Linked DNA regions of Astyanax mexicanus. The main gene of each other region encodes a partner of the protein of the gene in region 2 in a complex. Links are inferred from orthologs where the notes say so. Each region holds a gene or a part of one and is shown on either strand. Other genes may lie near its edges.

Region 1 (10,706 bases), on a different chromosome or scaffold from region 2:
TAATATCAGCATTAACTTAACATCTTTCTGGAGCTGAATTGCTTGTGTTATCAGCAAACTTTGTTTTGGTGGCTGAAATTATTGGTATTGGAATAATTTAAAGCGCTCTGGCGCCCTCTAGTGACGCTGTGTTCTTTACCGTGGCTCTTCCCTCCATCTCCAGCTTCTTCTGGCCGTTCAGGATCTTGTGTCCGACTGTTCCCTGCACGCAGTACCCCGGCATAATCACCTGCAGGAAAACCACACGACACGACGGAGAGTTTCACACCAAACATGGAGCAGGAGACTCCAAGAACTCCAAGAACACAGAAATCTCCTCCTGAGCCCAACATCTCCATAAAACCGCTTAAACACAGACACAGCAACTTTATCCAGACTTTATCCTGCCACTCAGACATTCTATATACAAGTGATTGGGGTGAGGATTGGAAATATGACCATATAATAATAAATATGACCAATAAAAATCACAAAATATATTTTTGCGCTAAAATATTCTTGGATATACAAAAAAATATATATTTTTTAAATTCATTTCAAGAATATCAAGAATGGATTTTAGGTTTGTATTTCTTACCATGTTCTTTTCATTTCCAGCCCATTTCTTGAATATCTGTAAAGACTGTCCAGCGTGCAGCATGCCTGGAGTGGCAAACACCACCTAAACCATAAAAAACAAAAATAAAAATAAAAACCAGAATAAAACAACAGCCACACCAATCTGACCTCTATAACGCTCACACCAGACTACAACTACTATCACAGACCCCTCCCCCCAAATGAGGGTTCTGTATTTAACTGGCAACCCCCCGCCGAAGGTTCTACACAGACCGGGCAACCTATGACTGAATATTCTGAGTAGTGTCAACGCATTGCATCACCAAAATGATGAAACATTTGTTTTGGTTACCTGTGCAAAAGTCTGGTATGACACACTACTGGCTACTGCTACAGAGCGAGGCTTACCATTGGTCCAGGATTGTCTGCGTAGGAGCGGTCGAACGCTTTGATGTGCTTGAACTCGAACATGTTCCTCTGGACGAAGGTCTTGCGGATCTTCTGATTGGTCCAGGTGATGAAGAGCTTGTAGTAGTGGTTTGCTTTCTCCGTCAGTCCAGTGGAGAAATATATGGGGGCTTTTAAGTTCATTCTTTCCCTGATTAAAGGCAAAATAAACATATAAATCAAAACTCAGAACCCTTCAACAGCAACAGACCTATTTCTTCAGCTTAATCTGATTCTTGTTGCCACAATTTTTATTTCAGACTCACCAGAACGTTTCCAAAAGGATGCAAAGCTCCTGAGCTCTTCCCAACGCAAACACTGGAATAAGAACCTGTGATCATATAAACACATTTAAAATATACACAGTGAGTAAAACAGAAAAAAATCAGTTTAAGGTATTTTTATGATGTATTTCCCTAAAGCTTTTGTTCTCACCTTTCCTCCTCTCTCGATGGTTTCGTGGACTTTCTTTAGGAAGTCTCTCTCTCTGCAGCGTTTGGAGTCGCGGATGGTGGTGGCGTAGGTCGACTCAGAGATCAGAATATCCGGACGACATTTATCGATCCACGCCGCCCTGCAGAGAAAGAGCTTCAAATAAACTTCAGCTAAACCTGAACTCTTTAAAAACTGTTCTTAGAATGAATTAAATTAAATACATTATTAAACGGAAAACCATTTATCAAAACATTGACCGGGATGAAGGTACAGAAGAGTGCAAAAGACTGCAAACAATGCAAAACCACCAGGTTATAAAACAGGTTCTTCCCCACAACTATCAGACTCCTCAACCTACCGGACAGGTTCACTTAACTGTAATACTTTAATATTTAGAACTGCACTAATTGAACTGAATCTCATATTGATATCAAATATTACTCTAATCATATTGAAAGACTTTAAAATATTTTTTAAATCCAATTCCGACATCTAAATATTATTAGAAAAACAGTCTGAATAACTAAATATATAAATATAAAAAGGAAAAACAATGCTTACCCTAAGTGTCTGTCTGGGGTCATGTTATAATCCCCCTGTAGGACAAATCACATATATTAAATTATACATGTATTAAAAAAAAGAGTGTATAATATTTCCACATGCTTTTATTGAAGCAGAAAACAGTTATAGTATTATTACTCACAGTATAAACCACAGACTCCGATCCGACTTTAATCAGAACCATCGCCGCCCCCAGAACATGACCGGCGTAGTACGCTTTAATCTCCAGCTCATCGTCCACCTAGAGCACAAAAATAACAACAACACCAGCGGCGTTTCTGTCTTTTACCAAAAACCTCCGGGACATAATCAAGAGAAAATTCTGCTGCTCATTTTAGAAACTTCGCATGAAACAGAGGAAACACACAGCGAGGTAAACAGGCTGAGGTGCTCTAAAGTCTGGATCTACTCACACTCTGAAGAAGCCGTGCCAATTTCATCTAAATCAAATTCATTTATTTACATGTAAATACCCATTAATAACCGAGCTGGCCAACAACGTCCAATAGACGTTCATTTCAGGTTGAATGTTGGTCATGACGCCAAACGACAAATATTTTACGTCAGGATAAAGTCTAACAGTGTTCTGTGCCTGCAGGGAAGCGCTTCATAACCGTGTGCACTGTTTGATATTTGAACTCAAGTAAATAAACAATGCGATAAATATATAGCTTCCTTTAATATACTGAGCAAACAATTATTAACCTTCAAGAAGTGCAGACTAGTACGATGTAAGAATCTTTTTAATGATGCGCAATATTAGTTATAGAAATTATGGGGGGAAAAAATCTTTATTGATTAAAGCGACTTGCCGATTGATGAACAGTGTGTTTAGTTACTCACCTGGACGGTCTGGTGGAGGTTGAGTGGAACCACTTTCTTCATGCAGTCTTTGATCATCTGAGACGTGAAGAAGTTTGTTTCCCCCTTTTTGTCCACAGTGATTTTCCTGAAGTCCTCCAGCAGGATGGGACAGATGGCCTTGGTGGGATGGGTCATGTAGATGGGTCCGTCGTATCCCACCATCTCACTCATGTAGGGCAGAGCGCCGCAGTGGTCCAGGTGGAAATGACTGTGAGAGATCAGCAGCCAATCAGAAATCAGTTCATCAATTCTTTAAAGCAGTGCTGTCAATGTTCTATTTTTTAATGCAGATGCAGAACTTTCAGACCTCAAATAATGCAAAGAAAACAAGTTCATATTCATAAAGTTTTAAGAGTTCAGAAATCATCAATATTTGGTGGAATAACCCTGGTTGGTTTTTAATTACAGTTTCTTTTCATGCATCTTGGCATCATGTTCTCCTCCACCAGTCTTACACACTGCTTTTGGATAACTTTATGCTGCTTTACTCCTGGTGCAAAAATTCAAGCAGTTCAGTTTGGTGGTTTGATGGTTTGTGTTTTTACCTGATAATAACACAGTCCAGAAACTCTGTGAGGCGTCCGTTCTGCGTGATGTAGGAAAAGTCTGGGAAACGTCTCTAAAGAGAAAAAAACAGCAAAAAATAAATGAACTATGGAAAAACCATATCAATTTACTGTAGTAGTCAAAAGTTTGGACACACTTTACATGTTGTGTTTTATCATTACTTTAATTTCCTTTATTGTAGATTAACAATAAACTCATTTAAACTATAAAGAGAAACATCTGGAATTATTTAGTAAACAAAAAAACTTAAACAAACCAGAATATGTTTTATATTTAAGATATAACATTTTCTCAGTCAGCTTTATGTTCAGTTCCAGTAAGTTTCAGTAGCTTAACCTACATCATCATTATAGCCCATGTGCATCCCACAGTCCAGCATTATGTTCTTTCCTCCAATAGAAACCAGGATACAACTGCGCCCAACATCCTGCCCAGCTCCTACACACACACACACACACACACACACACACACACATATTAATACTGAAAACACAGACTTTTTAACTATTATTACAGAATTACTGAGATTATAGGATTCAGAACACGAACTGTATCCTAGTAAATTATACAGTTTCAGCTCTAATCTATCAGTCAATCAATCAATTAATCAAATCAATTATCCTTTATTTTAACTCTGGAGTACATTGAGGGTGACCCTTATTTACATTGCAGCCGAGGATTTACAGTATAAAAGGGATTGAAAACATTATATAAAAAAATTAAAATTTTTAATACATAAAATAAATACACACTTCAAATAAATACATTTAATATAAATGTATAATATATTAATATATACATATAAAAGAGGGAAATCTAAATAAAACGACCATAAAAAATTAACACACAAAAAGTGAAAGCATTTATCAAATTTAAAATAAAGAAATTCATAAAAATAATATAGATAATAGAAATAAAAATAGTAAAAGTAAATGATAAAATAAAATAATGAGTAATAAGTGACAGAGTGATAATAGTAGAAGGTATAATAAAGAACTAAGATCATAATAATCCAAATAAAACCTAAATAAATGAATAAAAAGTAAGAACAATAAACAGTACAGAAACGCAGCTTACCCAGCGGAGTTACTTTAATGTCCGGCATGATGAAGCTTCAGGAGCTTTATGAGCTTTAGGAGATTCTTATAATATTAATATTATTATTGTAGTTCTGGTTTATTTACTGTAACGTTAGTTTATGCTACAGATGAGAAGCTAACCGGCTAACCGGCTAACTAACACACTCTTATACTGAGCTGCTAGTTTACTACATACTGAACGCTTCCAAATTCCCCTCTATATTAAACACCATAAACACAATAAACTACATCTAAATAACTCAAATCACGCTGTTTACAGGCGGATAAACTGATAAAAAACATATAAATTTAATTTAATTCAACATAAATGTCTCAAAACTAAACAGCGGACATGCTGACTGAACCCGATTGGTCCGCTGACCTCCAGCCAATCGTCCGCTTCAAAATTGAGCACGTGATGTAGCAGCCTGCTTGATTGGTGAAAATGCCAAAGGACTTTTAACGTAGGAACAAATATTATTTAAATACATTACATTATACATTATATAAATACATATATTAAATGTCCATATTATAAAAAAATATTAGAATTTAGTCTTAGAATATCGAAAAAGACATGTAATAAACAAACAAACAAATAAGACGTATGATAAAATACAAGATAATTTGTTAAACTAAAGAAAAAAATACAGTTAATGTACATATATTTTATATATTAACTATCATTATTATTAAAATTATGGATAACCTAATAACAAAATAATATCGCTTATTTAATTTTTATTCAACATAAAAGTCCCCAAAAATAAACCACAGCTCAAAACGGCGGAACCCGATTGATGCACTGACCTCCAGCCAATCGCTTGCTTTAAAAGTAAGCACGTAATATAACAGTCTGCTTTGATTGGTGGAACTGCCAGCTCTGGTCTTTAGGTATCCGGAAGAGTGACTAAATACTTAACCGGCTGCGTCCCAAACCAACGCTCCCAGAGGGTGCACACTGCGCAATCTACAACCCGGCTAAATAAAAGTCTTACCAAAAAAACCGTAAGAAAAACTATAAGATAAATTACTATAAAAATCTAATAAAACTTAAAAATATAGTTACTATATAGAAACAAACAAACAAACAAATACGATTTCAAAAGTAAGAGAAAATTTCTTATTATATACATTATATTTTATTTATTATTATATATAAAACACATTATTCATATTTATTTATTTTTTTATTTTACAATATTGTTATTTTTTATTTATTTTTTATTTCGTTTAGCTGTACTTGTTGTAACTTTGGGAAGGAAAGGAATGTAATTCCAATCCTCTGTATGTCCTGTACATATGCAGTATTGACAATAAAACTACTTGACTGTATTATTAAAAATTATCTTGACCATAGTTTCACAAAATAGTTTCACAAAAAAATAGAAAAATAGATAAAGATTAAGAAGTGTTTTACATCGTCACTTTCCGTTCTTGAATGCTCACTTATTTTCTTTTATTGTAAGTGAAAATAAGTATACATTTAGACAAAAGTATTAATTTAAAACAATATATTACAACGCTCAAAATGCTCAAACATGTTTTTTATACGTTTTCAAAAGCAAATAAATTTTAAATTGTATTATTTTAAATGACTTGTTTTTAAAAAAATATCAATAGGTTTTGAGTAAATACAAAATCTACATCTGACTATTTTTTTGTTTCGGTAAGTCCTTTAATCTGACGGGTGGAATTCTGAGCACGTCACTGAGCGCCCTTGGTAGGACACAGGGTGTGATATTGGAGCGCAGCCGGTGAGCAGACCGGGTTAGTAGGTACAGTAGAATCAGATCAGGCTGATAAACTCTGATGTTTTAATCTGTAAAAACTCCTAAAGTTTAATATCCTGAGCTCGTATCTCCACTCAGCTCATCCGCAGCTGGTTTAGTAGCAGATCTGGATCATGGCAGAGTCGTTTAGTTTACAGAATGTATTGGACACCTTTAAATCCAGCCTGAGTGAGAATAAGGAAATATATATCCAGTATTATATAGCAGGGTGGAAGGAGCTGGTCAGGTATGGGACAAACCTCTTTTTTCCCTTATTTCTTTATTCTACAGTCTGTACAGTCAGGATTTTAGAGCTTTATTTAATACTGTATTAAATATAAACTGTTTATATGATCAGTATAATATTAAATAATAAAATACTTATTTACAGCTCTGAAAAAAAATAAGAGACCACTTAAAAATCAGTCCTGAGAAAAGGTTATATATATAAAAAAAAAAATCAAACTTTAAAAAAGGGACAGTGAAATCATGTTAAAGTATGTTTTGCTTTTGTCTTTTACATTTTACAGGAACTTAAACCAGCAAATTTATTAAAAATGAGAGAGAACATAAAAATTATGAGTTTCTATGATTTTATCAAATAAAAAAAAAACTCTGGAATAAAATCAATATAATCAGATGGATGATCACAAGCTGATCATCAAACCACCAAACTGAACTGCTTGAAATAATTTTTGCACCAGGAGTAAAGCAGCATAAAGTTATTCTATTACAACATGTAGTCCAGCAGCCCCAGACCATCACACTACCACCACCATGTTTTACGTTTAATATGATGCTGCTCTTTTTATGAAATGATGTGTTGGTGTTTTAAAGTGTTAGTGTATGTGTTTTAAACTTTTCTCATTTTTTTCCTTAGTACACAAATTCATAATTTATTATCATCATTGCTTTTTATATTTACTCAGGTTATGTTTGATATTTGTCTGATATTAAAGTTTGTTTGATAATCTGTTGATTATCTAAGTATGTAAGTAAGAAATCTGCACTGTAAATCAGTAATAAAATGTAATAATTCGTCTCCTCTCCTCCCTCCAGCTTCATGAACAGTCTGGGAACCGTGTTCTCCTTCATCTCTAAGGACGCGGTGAATAAAATCCAGATTCTGGAGAATCTCCAGGCCGGCGAGTCCGGCTCTCACTACCTCACGGTGCAGTCGATGGTGAAGTATGAGCTGGAGAACGAGCTGGTGGACCTGACCAAGAGGAGCAGTCACCCGGAGTCGGGCTGCCGGACGCTCCTGCGTCTGCACCGCGCTCTGCTCTGGCTGGAGCTGTTCCTGGAGCGTCTGCGCACCAGCACCGAGGAGAGCAAGACCTCCGTCATGTGCTCGGACGCCTACAACGAGTCTCTGGCTCAGCACCACGCCTGGATCATCAGGAAGGCGACGGGCGTGGCTTTCTGCGCCCTGCCCGGCCGGGACTCCTTCTTCCAGGTGATGAACGCAGGCAGTGAGCAGGAGGTGGTCGCCCTGCTGGGAGAAGCTTTAGCCCTGATCTCAGAGGTGCATCAGATCACAGAGGACCTGTACGCCCAGAACAACCTGCTGGAGCTGCCCTAGATATAGCAGAAGACGCAGCAGTAGATGATATACAGTAGTTTGGACACACCTTCTCTTTTTCAGTGCGTTTTCTTTATCTTCAGGACTATTTACATTGTAGATTCTCACTGAAGCATCAAAACTATGAATGAACACATGTGGAGTTTTATGTACTTAATAAAAAATGAGCTGAACCTCCACAGTCACCGGACCTGAACCCAATCCAGATCCAGGTTTGGGGTGAGCTGGAGCACAGAGTGAAGAAGACAAAGGAGCAACAAGTGCTAATAAACACCTCTGGGAACTCCTTCCTTCCTTCAAGACTGTTGGAAAACTTTTCATTTCAGGTGGCCACCTCTTAAATGAAGCTCATTGAGAGAATGATGCCAAGAGTGTGTAAAGCAGTAACCAGAGCAAAGGGGGGCTTTTATTTTGAAGAAACTAGAAAAACTATAAAACATGTTTTTTTAGTTATTTTCACCTTTTTTATTAAGAACATAAAACTCCACATGTGTTCATTCATAGTTTTGATGCTTCAGTGAGAATCTACAATGTAAATAATCATGAAAATAAAGAAAACGCATTGAAAAAGAGAAGCTGTGTCCAAACTTTTGGCCTGAACTGTAGTAGATAGTGTAGTAAAATGACTGTGTGGAATGATGCTGGTTTTATTTGGCGCTACTACTGAGATCTTGGATCTCATCTCATATCGTATAATGACTATATTAGGCTGTTATCACTTTATACACTTATCTCTCTTTCTTTTTGACCAAACACATGGTTTCATGGCGACGGTCAACTAAATGCTAAAACTCAATACCAACAGTTTTTCAATAATCATACAGCTCTGGAAAAAAAATAAGAGAGCACTTAAAAATGATGAGTTTCTCTGATTTTACCAAATTAAAAACCTCTGAAATATAATCAAGAGGAAGATGGATGATCACAAACCATCAAACCACCAAACTGAACTGCTTGAATACATTTTTGCACCAGGAGTAAAGCAGCATAAAGTTATCCAAAAGCAGTGTGTAAGACTGGTGGAGGAGAACATGATACCAAGATGCATGAAAACTGTGATTAAAAACCAGATTTATTCCACCCAATATTGATTTCACCAAATATTGATTGAGGTCTAAAAGCTCTGCATCTTTTTTTTCTTTTTCTGCAAATAAATGCTTTCAATTACAAAATTTATTTTATTTGGAATTTGGGAGAAATGTTGTCCATAGTTTTTAAAATAAAACAAAAATGTTAATTTTACTCAAACATTCAGAAACTGATGTGCTCTCTCCATTTTTTTATCCAGAGCTGTATAGATATATAGTTTGAGTAAACAGCGTGAAAGACTACAGCAGCAGTAAAACTGTACCAATAGAAATGCTTTTGAATGCAGTTGAATTCCATTGAAAGCTAGGGAGGTTCTTTTGGGCTTCCAGTGGCTCAGCAGCCAGAGTCCGAGCGAGCACAATGCTTGGTCGTGCTCTCTCTCTCTGGGGGGATAGGTGGCGCTCTCTCCCCTCATTTCTCTCATGACAGAGACCATATGCAGGCCTGCAAATCCACTCAGGCCTCTTTTTAATGTAAATTAGTACGAATGACCAAAATTGAATGTTTAAGGCAAATCTACTGTATGTACTGTATTTATATATGATTAAAAGGGACAAATTTAATGCAGTGTATATAATAATCTGCTGAGTTTAATAAGCCATGATGACCATAGCCAGGATGTATTACAATACTATATAATATATGTATGTATATGTAATGTTTTTGAATGTTTAAGGTTAATGGTCTGAATTATATTAAATTATTGTATAATTATAGTTTTTCCAATTTTACACAGTATTTGCAGGACATGTTTTTATTATAAACTTGGATGTAATACTGCACAAATTATTACAGTCTGACCTCTGTGTGTATTTTATTTTTCGGCATGTAAATAAGACTTGAAAACATTAAGGGGATGGGTATGTGGACTTTTGCACTACATTGCTGACGGAAAATAAAATAAAGTGGGCATAAAATTGATCCATTAAGTGTTTTTTTTTTATTGTTTTTACAAACTGAAACTGAACTCGAGGAAAAGAACATAAGATTTTACTTGACTTGTTAAGGGTTGTGATTCTTTTAGCCATTGTATCTGCTATTCAGAAATACCTGTAAAACTAAACTGTGTCTTCAGTCCAGTTTAGTCCAATATTTTTTTTTATATATAATTATTTTTATATTAAGAAAGTGGTTAATCAGAAAACAACAAAACACTATTAATATATACTTGAAAATAAAATAAAAAAAATCATATATTCATATTTTTTTAAATATATATATTTTAAATCAAACATTTTTACAAAACTCTTGTAGAACATTGTTTTAAAGAAAAGGTAAGTAGTATTTAATACCAACATTCGCAAGTAATAGTGATTTAACAAAGAGATCAACATACTGGAAACCAGAGGTCTAATTACCCATTAGAACAACCTGTTTACATCACTGATTAAATCTAATGAACATCTCATAAACATCAAAAATGCACGAAAAACATGATTTTTCCGCGTGTTACAGCTGCTGCGCCTGCGCTCATCTCCACAATGAGGAGGGGCTTCCCTCCAGTGCGCTGACTCTCCTCCCCTCTCAGCACAAGCAGCAAGCTGATTAGCTGTTTTTGCTGAAGGGAGGGACTTTACTGTCAACAACAGAAAAAGACAATAGAAATGTTAGGAATAGCATCTAGACTAGTTGGACTAGATGGTTAGTTTTTTTTACTGCCTGCATCCATCTGTTCATCTTCCCTGACTCTTCACACCCCTCTTTCATTCTGTCTCTCTTTCTTTCATTCTCTCCCTCTCTCTTTTTCTC
Region 2 (10,621 bases):
GCAGAACCTTACAACAGTATATGCTACTCTGCATACCACTCAGCAAATATCTGGGAGAACTCGAGTGAGCTGTTGGCCACAGGGGAAATGAAGTAGAAGGGTGTGGTTCCCAGGTTAGCTGAGTCCATGAACTGGTAAAGACACTCCAGCAGGTCATAAATCACCCCAGATGAGTAACACGGCACCAGCACGTTTCCCCCAGCCCGGATCGTCATTGCTAAGAGAACACAGATTAATGAAAGAGAATAAGTAACAAGAGAATACAGAGCTAGTTTGATGAAACATTAAGTGTTTTGCTGATGCAACACATGTCACACAGTGTCAGAAACAACATAAGCCAATTCTATTAGAGAATATATTATAATTACAGTGTGTGATGATTTAGGCATGCAGTGTATTAAGCAAGTGACTACAAACTTCTATTACCTATCTATTACTTAGCAACTTAGCTTTGAGGCTACAACCACTGGAGTAAACTTTAAACACTAAACATTACGTGGCTGATTTCTGGCTACATTTCTAAAAGAGGTGAAAGCATGTAAACTTGACACTTAATCAAACCATAGCTTTAAGAAAGCTTTCCCAACAACTGACCCAGGTTGCTGCAGAATTCTCCCAGCATGCCATCTGGGTTGGCGGTGGGGATTTGGGTCAGGCCTGTCAGGATCAGTACGTCACTGTTCTTCAGTGAGCTCTGGTCCATGGGCTGCAAATCACAACACAGTAAACTTTAAAGTCTGAAACACAGAAGGCCTGCAGTGGACATTAAACCTTATACTCTACCTCCCATTTTTTCTTATTTTGGTTAATTAAAGAGGCAGAAGTGTAAAGAGTAGCTTGAATTATTCTCAAGTAATAATAATTAATTGAGCAAAAGAATATTAAAACATATTTTGAAACAGCAATGTACTAGATATAAACTTAACTTAGAGAGGAACTGAAGTTAGTTAGGTGGTAGTCACACAAAAATGTTACAGGCTAAATTGTACATCTATGCCCAACCCCATTTCACCCCTTGGTTCTATCACTTAGCCCTACCCCTCAGGTTTACGCTTTCATGCTGTCTCGATTCTTGTTAGACTGCATGGGTGTAGAGTATAGTGTTAGGGGTGTATTGCCCTTCAAATGAATTTTTCAGAGGCACACTCAAAAAACAAAGGGCTGAGAATCATTGGCAAAATTGCAAAGAAACAAAGAAACCCACAAATTTGAGTATTTTCCTTGTTAAAATGAAGATAACCACTAGCTATATTACCATAGTTTAATGGGTAGTTTCAGTGTTTTATGGACACATAACCAGCATACAAAAAGCTTCTTAGTGCTTAGGGAAAGGATTTCACCCCTTCTGCTTGTAATGCTGTCCCAAGAGGCAGGGTTACACTCATAAAAAAGGGTAAGGGTACAGAAGAGGAATGGGATTGGGCCTAATGTATGTTACTATGATTCTTAACATTGGCCATATGATTTTAGGACGATATCATGATTCTATCTGGTAAAAAGTAAAGCCGCAATAACTAATGGGATATCATCAATTCCACCTTAAACACTGAAGTTAATAAACACCATAGTAACACAAACACACAGTGACTGTACATGCAACACACTGGCAAGGCATTGACATCTCTATGGTATGTTTTGGATATTATAAGAGCAACTTACTGATAGAGGAATTAAACAAAAGATTACATTAAACATGTTCCGCATTTCTAGTTTTAGTTATTAGTATTGTGTTTATTAAATAGTTATTTTGTTCTACATGAGAAAACCACTAATGGTTTTAGAATAAACCAGAAGGATGTGTTGAACAATGCAAGTTAGCTGACCTGAGGGTGTGTGGTCAGCAGAGATGATCCAGACACATAGGACACTTTTTCATAGTGCGACTGGATGATCCAGTTAGAACTGCCCAGTGAATAACCAGAGCTGAGAGGAGTGACCTGCACTGCACCAAACAGCTCCTACAGTACAGGGAGGGGAAGAGAGAGAGAGGAGAAGAGAGAGAAAGAGAGAGAGTAAGGGAAAGAGAAAGAGATATTACATCCCATCTGTTGAAGCCTCCTCCATCCCATTTATCATTACGGATCAGTTTCTAAGCAAAAACACTACTTTCCAGATATTATATGGTGTTGGTCCACTTCTAGCACAGCAGTGACTGTAACATCGTAGTGACAATGGTATCACAGTAGTATGTGTGTGTGTGTGTATTGTTGGTATAAGTGCAACAAAGTTTTTACACAGTTTTTTCAGTGTCACGACTACTTTCTGATTTGTTGTCAGACACTGACTCCTGATGATAAGATGCCTAGACCTGTCACAGTCCCTGTTTTTGCCAAGCATTAATATTACAGCAGAAATAAATGTGCTAAATGACATTATAGTAATTTACAGAGCATTAAAAGCCATTACTATTAGAATAATAAACTAGCATAATAATACTATTACACCATTTTAAAGGAAAATGAAATGTAATTCTCACCTTTGTTCCCAGCAGTTTAGACATTAATGGCTTTGTGGGGAGTTATTTTGAGAGCACAATCTGTACACTGAATTGAAATTAAAGTGTCACATCTCCAGTGTTCCCAAGAAAAGATACAGAAATGGTACAGGAACATGAGGTTTTATTTACTCTACAGTCCTAGCATCACAAGTCTAAATAGAAATGGAGACATACCACTTTCTGAGAGTAGCCCACTAGCTGCACTTTACTGAGAGCAGAGTTCACCTCCTGCATGCTGTAGCACCTTTTCCACGACCACACATCTACTGCATCCTTTAACGGCCCAGGAAGCATCCTAAAAACAAAAACATCACTCTTAAAGCTACTAAAACAAAAACACTCAACAATGTAAAACAGTGTGAATATTGTTAATGCACACATGCAACTAACACTGTTTATGACTATGTATGAAGTCCCACTGCTTCCTGACCTTTGTATTTCCTTGTTCTTCCAACAGGTGGCAGACTGAGCCTTTGGAACTCTCTCCATAAAAGTGACCAGCTCCTCCATCAACAGTCTGAGGATATAAACAAAACATTTGTTTATATACATTTTTTTTCTACCTTTTTCATGTTCATAAACTTTTATCTTTTGCTGCTTTTATTGATTATTTGTTGATTAATGTTTATATTAGCTGATGTTGTGAACCATTTAGTTCCTTCAGCTGCCTTAATGTATGAAAATTGAGGTTTATCATTATTACTATTATTCTTATTATACTATTATTATTATTATTAATTAGTAATCAATTAATTAACAGAAGCCCTTGCTCTCCTTTTACCTATATGACTTCCATCCATCAGATATTTTGCAACCCTCTACAAGTGTTAAAGCTGAAAAATAAAACTATTATGTGCACCATATTATAATAAATGTCTTTTGATCTATTTTCATACATAAGGCGCACCGGATTATAAGGCTCATTTTAAATGACAATAGTTAGGATCAAGGGTGTTGCCATGTTGTTAATCTACACAGATTTCTCTCCTTAAAATGATATATTTGGTTAAGTAAAGCATTTCTGTTATTTACAGTAGGCTTAGATGTCCAATATTTTCAACAGTGCAATTTACAGAAGCGCTAGACACGGTTGGCAACACTTTGCGATTTTTGGGAAAATTAAAGGTTTTTAAGTGCATCTTACAGTGTGAAAAATACAGTATATATACAGAACTGATAAACAGGCTACCTGCCAATCTGAAAGGTGGGTTCAGTGGCGTAGACTGTTCCTGAGAAACCTGTGTGTTCAGTGATGTAGGGCAGGGCCATCATGCAGTGGTAGTTAGAGATTAATATAACATCAACAGTGGACAAGTCCAGCAGCTCTCGCTACAAAAACAAAAACACACATCCAGCATGAAAAGGTTTAGGCACCATAGACACATTTTTTACAAACTTTAAATAATTCAGAATGTAAAAGATGCAACATTTAATTAATATATTCCAAAAATAAAAAATAAAAATCAGTTCTACCAATTGTGCACGTCAGTATAAACATATTAAGTGTACCAGGAAGCCCAAAGAAATCTATTTTAGACAATTTGAATAAATAGTGCCCTGAAATGTGAGTACAATCAGTGCGTAAAATACAAGAATAAGCACTAAATATTTTCTTGTTTAAAAGGCACAGTACCAGTCAAAGGTTTTAACACACATTCTCATTTAGTGGTTTTCTTTATTTAATTATTTTCTTTACATTGTAGATTAATATTAAATACAAAAACAGGTTAATGGACACATGAAATGATGTAGTAAACAAAAAAATGTTCTCCACAATCCCCCCAAAGACCAATATTTCAGGATACAAACACACACCTCAGGTAGACAAAACTCGGGCTGTGTGTCCACAAAAACACGACCAGCGCATTCCTTGAGCTCCTTTAACCAAGAACAGAGAGCACATTCAGTTAAGTAAAGTATCATATTACACTGAATATGCATACATTCATCCCTGCACTAATGTATTAAGAGTAAAAAATTATACTTACTTTCTCAAGATTCACTGTACCGTCCTTAGAGACCCAGCCTGGGAGTTTAGACAGTCTTGGACTGAAATGTGTTAAGAACATAAATAAACTCAGCAACAAATCATCATCACCCTATTACAAAGGTTATATTCATCACAACACTAGATATAAAAAGGTTCAGGTGAATCTGAAGTGATACGATGACACACCTGTGTACCAACGGCAGAGGGAGAAAATACAGAGCAGATGAGGTGTCCAGACCACAGTCCAACATGATTGTGGTTGATTTAAACTTGAGGACATTGCAAGGCAGCGTTGGATGACCAGATAAACAATACTGGAAAAGAAAGATGTAATCTTAGTTAGGCTAATGTACAGAATTAATTTAATGAGAATCTGAATGCTAAGCCCTGTCCACCGGCAACAATGGGCACTCGAGAGTTTTGAAGACGGTCACTTGGTTTAGTTACTGTATATCATGTGGATGTATAGTAAATGTACGGAGCTCCATCCAGTACTTTTAGGATGAGCTGGGGATGAGTTAGGGCGGGGTGGTCCTGGATTCATTCAGGCTCTTGTCACTAAATACAATCAAATCCTCACAGCAATGCTCCAAAATATAGTCGAAAGACTTTTAGAAAGATAATATACTTTTACATGCATTTACGTGAATTCATTAACAACTGGGTATTTAATGATACAAATAAAGACTGAGTTTTTTAAACATACCAATGTGAATTCTAGTACACTAACCCTACTATTCACGAGGTTGTGTTGTCTTCGAATTTCCCGTTCCACCTTAAATGCCTCGCTGTTTGAGTAAACGGTGCAGCGGGCGCGCGGAGATAACTTCCACAGATTGAAGGTAGCGCGGAAAATTCTACCATCTTTAGTCTACATTATTGTGGAGCAGCATCATCAGCCATGCTGAGGTCTGCGTGTGTTCAGAGGTGTGTACAGTCAGTAGGTCAGTGTCTGGGTTATAAAACACTCACCAGCTTCATGTTTGTGATGCGGGGATAGTTTCTATCAGGCGCTGTTTACACTGGACTCGGTTTCTCATCAGGCTGCAGTCTAGCGGTGTGGAGGAGAGAATCAGACTGAGAGACCCACACCGCCCCCGAGCGCCCAGGAGGAGAATTACCACATTATTACTGCTTTAGGAGAGCTTCAGATCCACAATACAGCTCTGGAAAACCACTTCAGTTTCTGAATCAGTTTCTCTGATTTTGCTATTTATAGGTATATGTTTGAGTAAAATGAACAATGTTGTTTTATTATATAAACTACGGACAACATTTCTCCCAAATTCCCAAAAAAAATATTGTCATTTAGAAATAAGAAATGCCTGATATTAACAAAATGATGCAGAGCTTTCAGACCTCAAATAATGCAAAGAAAACAAGTTCATATTTATAAAGTTTTCAGAAGAGTTCAGAAATCAGTATTTAGTGGAATAACCCTGGTTTTTAATCACAGTTTTCATGCATCTTGGCATGTTCTCCTCCACCAGTCTTACACACTGCTTTTGGATAACTTTATGCCACTCCTGGTGCAACATTTCAACCAGTTTAGCTTGGTTTGATGGCTTGTGATCATCCATCTACCTCTTGATATTATTCCCAAGAAACCTTTAAGTGCATATAGCATTATTATTATTTTTATTATATTAAATATAAAATATATAATATACATATTATACACATAACTGATCCTAACCCACAAATGATGTAAACTGTGAACTGTAAAAGGGATTTATTAAATGTTAATAAAAAAAATACTTGATACTGATATATATTTATCTAAAACATAAAATAAAATTATATGCTCTCCAAACAAATTCTGTGGCATTTTCCTTTTTCATTTTATTGCAATAATTTTTATTGTTTCTGACATATCCTTTCAATTGCTTAGGCAAGAAATTTCCAAATCTTAGCAATGAGCATATTCACCTGTAAAACTCACTCTGGCACACGTGATTTACTTTAATAAAGAATAATTACATAGCAGAGCACTAAAATGGCCAAGCTCATACACGTACGATGTGTATATGTGTATTTGTGTATTTGTGTATTTTTATTTATTCTACAATGAGCATTTTTTAATAAATATTTAAACAATGAATCAAAAGAACAAACTTTAATGTGGTTATTGAAGAGTAATATTGTCTGTATACCACTTTTAGCTGTTACTTGCATGAAAAAATATTTTACATGTACGTATGTATGTATTATTATTATTAGTAGTAGTAGTAGTAGCAGGAGTAGTAGTAGTATTTGTAAGATGGTTGTTCTTATAGTATTACTACTAGTATATAAAATAATAAACTTATCAGCAATATAACGTGTCCTGCAATGTGTTGGTTTTTGAATACATTTGATGCACATAGAATACATTCTATGTGCAAAAGTCTTTATAATATTGATTATATATATTCATACATAGTTAGTATAATATATTATCATATACAATAAACTATTTATAATAGAAATATGTTAAATAATTAATAATTAATATTTAGAGGCTACAGCCTCTGATCTTCTGCAGAAATGTTGTATAAGTGGAATCAATTATATTTTGCTACAGAAGAATTAGTGACTGAAATATTAAGTTAGACTCTCCTTTATCTTAAAGGGGAGGCAGAAATTACAGAAGGGTGTTGCTCTGAAAAATCCAAAATGTATTTATTCCTAATTCTTCACTTTCCCATATATTTTCTATTTAAATTTAACATACAGCAGCACATAGTTTAAAAGCTCAAAAGTAAAATCTACAGGTACCAGCGGAGGGGGCGTGTCATGTGGGGCGTGGCCATGGAGTGGGCGTGGTTTTCTCAGAAACTCCTGTCCGGTTGCTAATCCTCCTCTTCCACCTGCTCGAGTCCGCAGGAGCTCCGTGGGAGTAAATGGCGAGAAGAAGCTGGAGAGGAAACAGGTGGAAGTCTCTCACACTTTAAAGACATTTAAAGACAGTGTAGACTAAGATTGATTTCGTTAACGTTTTAAACAGCCTGTGTAAAAGTCGCGTAAGGACAAATTAGTGAGTTTGTTGTTGTGATTTTTCCTGTCTGGATGACAGCCAACTAAGCTGGCTAACAGAAGGAGCTAAATCGGTCTCTCTCTCTTTATTTACGCGTTTATTGTGTTTTTCACTGCTCGTGAAGGAATGAGGAACTCCAGGATAATCGGAGGTGTGAGTTTACTCTGACAACTGTTTACATGAGCTGTAATAATGGAGAAAGACTCCCTAATCCTGCTTCATGATACGAGAGGACAGTAGACTATGGCAGGAAACGCGTTCAGCAGTTCAGTCCGTGTGGAGTAATCAGAGAGAAAGTAAGTGTGAAGTCGCTTTTATTCACCACAATTAATCTGACTCCTAATTCTCTAGCTTTTTATTAAACTTTTACACTTCCACCTTAAATTCTGCAGCAGTTACATGCTAGAGACGGAACGAGCACGGGCTTTACTACTGTAAAACTCCTGCTTCATTTAAGGTGGAACTGGGAATTCTAGTCAGAATTAAAAACAGCTTTATAAATGTAATAGTTCTGTACTGTCATTTGTAGAGCCTGATGTTAAATAATAAACTGTTTTGTCCACTGTTTTAGGCAATAACAAAACCATGGATGACTCTAGTGTGAATGGTTCAAATGTGAAGGTGGCTGTTCGAGTCAGACCCTTGAACAGAAGAGGTAAGGCCTTTATGACTTTGTATATATATGTAATATCCTTATAGATTAAAATACATATTAATATTCTTCACAAGTTTTCGGTCTTCACAAACAGCTGACAAAACATATGTTAGCAAAGAACTTATTTTGTTATCTTCATAATTGCATATATGCATTTCTTCATAGTTTTGATGTCTTTAATATTATCTACAAGTGAATAACTTATGAACCGGTGTTCAGTAGTTTCTGAGGCAATCCAGCATTCATCTACAGACTGAAAATCTATGTTCTTATGTTATGTGTAAAATAAAAAAGGAAATACCAAGAACTATAGAAAAACACAAATGAAAAGAAAGCAACAGTGTTACATAAAATACAAACTCGTAAAACTTGTTTTCATGTACATATAATTAACTAAATGGACATTCTTTCCCACCTTTGTCAAGTCTGATACAGTTAAGTTTGATTACGGGCCTAGGAATAACCTGTGAATAGGGTCACACTGCAGCGCTTCCGAAAATGAAAGTGTTTTTTTTTGTGCTTTCCTGTCAGCTTGGATGGTCAAGCTGGACGTTTTCCTGCTTAATTGTTAGGACTGTAAACTAGCTTTTCAAGGTGTGATAGTATCCTGAATATATCTTCTTTTAAATCCACATTATTCATATATGAACACTAAGCTGATTTAAACTTTTTCTCTCAAAACCTTCCACCTATATAGCCTACAGCATTTTAGCCCAACCCAGTTAGACTGTAATTAGTAGCCCTGACAGTTTTTAAATTCACATTTGCATAAATGTCTTAGAGCCCAAAAATAAAATATGGCCTGTTTACTTCTAAGAGAGAAATATAGATAGTACTTAATCATTACATCATTTCTACCAGTATGTGAGATTTACATTTTCTAAAATAATAAATAATTAATCACAGTTGATAATGCGGTTTATTACTGTCCGCAACTCCTTTTACACACACTTTTACTTGGAAACGTATTGGGAGTTTAAATGGGAAGAAGTTAGTAAGATGGCCTGGAGTCAAAATGAAGCTGACATTGCAGATTACCTGCTGGAGTTTCAGTACAGTTCCTGAGAAACTCATGTGTAAACAGAAGCTGATACAATATCAGAAACTACAGCAAAGGTAAGAGAAACATAGCAAATGCAAAGTGGATTTTACCATGATTTAGTTTAACATTGGAATTAATGGTTTTATTTTGGGAAAGAAGAGGCAGGTGTTTTTTTGTGTGTGATTCCGAAGAGATGTGATGGTCACGTAGACTGAGCACTACCTGTAAAAGTACTCAAATGTCTTGTGTTTTAGTGTAAAAGGGATTTTGACATGACTATCCAGACATTTGTCTTGCCTCATTCTGTTCCTCTCTGTGTGTTATCAGTTTGTGTATTATCAGTGTTTATTCAGTGCGTCTGTTTTTTATGCTGCCTTTTCCCAGAGAAGGACCTGAAGACAAAATGTGTGGTGGAAATGGAGGGGAATCAGACAGTGCTGCAACCAGCCAGCAGCAACCTCGGAAAGGGAGACAGTAGGTAAGAGAGTGTGTGTACTTGTATATAAGTGTGTACATGTTGCAACATTGTATGCACAAAACAATGTAGGTATTTGGCTGAAAAGTTGGAATATTTTGCCTTATTATCTATCTAAGCCTTCCTCTGCTTGGCTCCATGCTGTCTGTGGTCTGGAATTTATCGGGGCTTCACACTTCGTCCCACTGCTTGCCCAGATTTTTCCTTTTTGGCCTTCAGATGTCATAGCAACCAGTGGAAGGTCACTACAAGGCCAGACCTAACTGGATACTTGTGATAGAAAAAATGGCTTGGTTTGAGCACTGGAGCTAAGAGAATATTGTTGCTAACAAGCAGAATGCTTGCATAGCTCATAAACTGCATGCCTACATTATAAGACACTCGCTTTAATGTGTGTGGAGTTATTCAGTAATGTAGTAGATTGTTTTTGTGGTTCTGACTCTGTATGACTCACTGTTGTGTAGCAGTGCCCCCTCAGCTCCTTCTGTCTGATTTAAGGTATCATTAGTCCCATTTGGCAGGACAACCCAGTCTCTTGAGGTTAGCATTTAGCCACCAAATTCTCTAGATTACATTAACACAGATGCCAGTAAACATAAATACAGTAAAAAAAAAAAAAGTAAGAACATTTTTTTTCAGCTGAAAAAGAAAGAAGTTGAGAGCTTGTGAGCTAGTTAAAAATACAAAGTTTGGTTTCAGATTTCTCCATAACGTCAGCTCAGTCAGCATGTGGGTGTTTCAGTTACATCACCAGTTATACTAGATCGGACTCACAAGAAAGAAAGCTTTGCAGATGCTTTAATGAACACATTGATGTATAATCACTACTTTTACAGTGTTATTGGTATTTATTGTAATATTAGTGTTAAGTTATTTTAATCTATTTTTGAATGTTGCCTAAACCTTTTGCACAGTAGTGTAAAAATATATATAAATATATCCCAAT

Evidence for each region. The genes of interacting proteins can lie anywhere in the genome.
Region 1: the proteins of ints9 (region 2) and ints11 are in contact, whole or in part, in a cryo-EM structure (PDB 8RC4), measured with the Homo sapiens proteins. The link is inferred for Astyanax mexicanus from reciprocal best matches to the Homo sapiens genes INTS9 and INTS11. Residues at the interface, in NP_060720.2 of Homo sapiens: Glu127, Gly198, Tyr199, Ser200, Gln201, Lys202, Tyr231, Glu338, Phe339, Ile342, Phe343, Glu345, Gln352, Lys354, Val355, Tyr356, Leu357, Pro358, Glu359, Pro360, Pro361, Arg511, Arg512, Tyr513, Glu514, Lys515, Ile516, Glu517, Ile518, Met519; in NP_060341.2 of Homo sapiens: His94, Gln97, Ala98, His137, Leu138, His139, Gln140, Thr141, Lys274, His277, Tyr278, Lys280, Leu281, Phe282, Ile283, Pro284, Trp285, Arg291, Phe294, Ser449, Pro450, Ser451, Ile452, Pro453, Val454, Gly455, Ile456, Ser457, Leu458, Leu461.

The regions. Positions count from the first base shown.
Region 1 is NC_064420.1:438,788-449,493, reverse strand, and holds the start of ints11 (integrator complex subunit 11), read right to left. Parts: upstream 4,909-10,706; 5' UTR 4,541-4,908; coding exon 4,513-4,540; intron 3,874-4,512; coding exon 3,776-3,873; intron 3,488-3,775; coding exon 3,414-3,487; intron 3,077-3,413; coding exon 2,848-3,076; intron 2,246-2,847; coding exon 2,147-2,245; intron 2,037-2,146; coding exon 2,002-2,036; intron 1,580-2,001; coding exon 1,441-1,579; intron 1,337-1,440; coding exon 1,272-1,336; intron 1,157-1,271; coding exon 967-1,156; intron 662-966; coding exon 578-661; intron 230-577; coding exon 140-229; intron 1-139. Other genes in the region: ceramide-1-phosphate transfer protein, read left to right, coding at 6,421-6,533, 7,346-7,868.
Region 2 is NC_064408.1:84,683,687-84,694,307, reverse strand, and holds the start of ints9 (integrator complex subunit 9), read right to left. Parts: upstream 5,568-10,621; 5' UTR 5,469-5,567; coding exon 5,460-5,468; intron 5,430-5,459; exon of another isoform or gene 5,218-5,429; intron 4,802-5,217; coding exon 4,674-4,801; intron 4,547-4,673; coding exon 4,486-4,546; intron 4,376-4,485; coding exon 4,313-4,375; intron 3,827-4,312; coding exon 3,687-3,826; intron 3,015-3,686; coding exon 2,928-3,014; intron 2,793-2,927; coding exon 2,672-2,792; intron 1,959-2,671; coding exon 1,824-1,958; intron 707-1,823; coding exon 595-706; intron 218-594; coding exon 37-217; intron 1-36. Other genes in the region: kif13bb (kinesin-like protein KIF13B), read left to right, coding at 7,724-7,799, 8,075-8,158, 9,585-9,678. UniProt on the Homo sapiens protein: Component of the integrator complex, a multiprotein complex that terminates RNA polymerase II (Pol II) transcription in the promoter-proximal region of genes.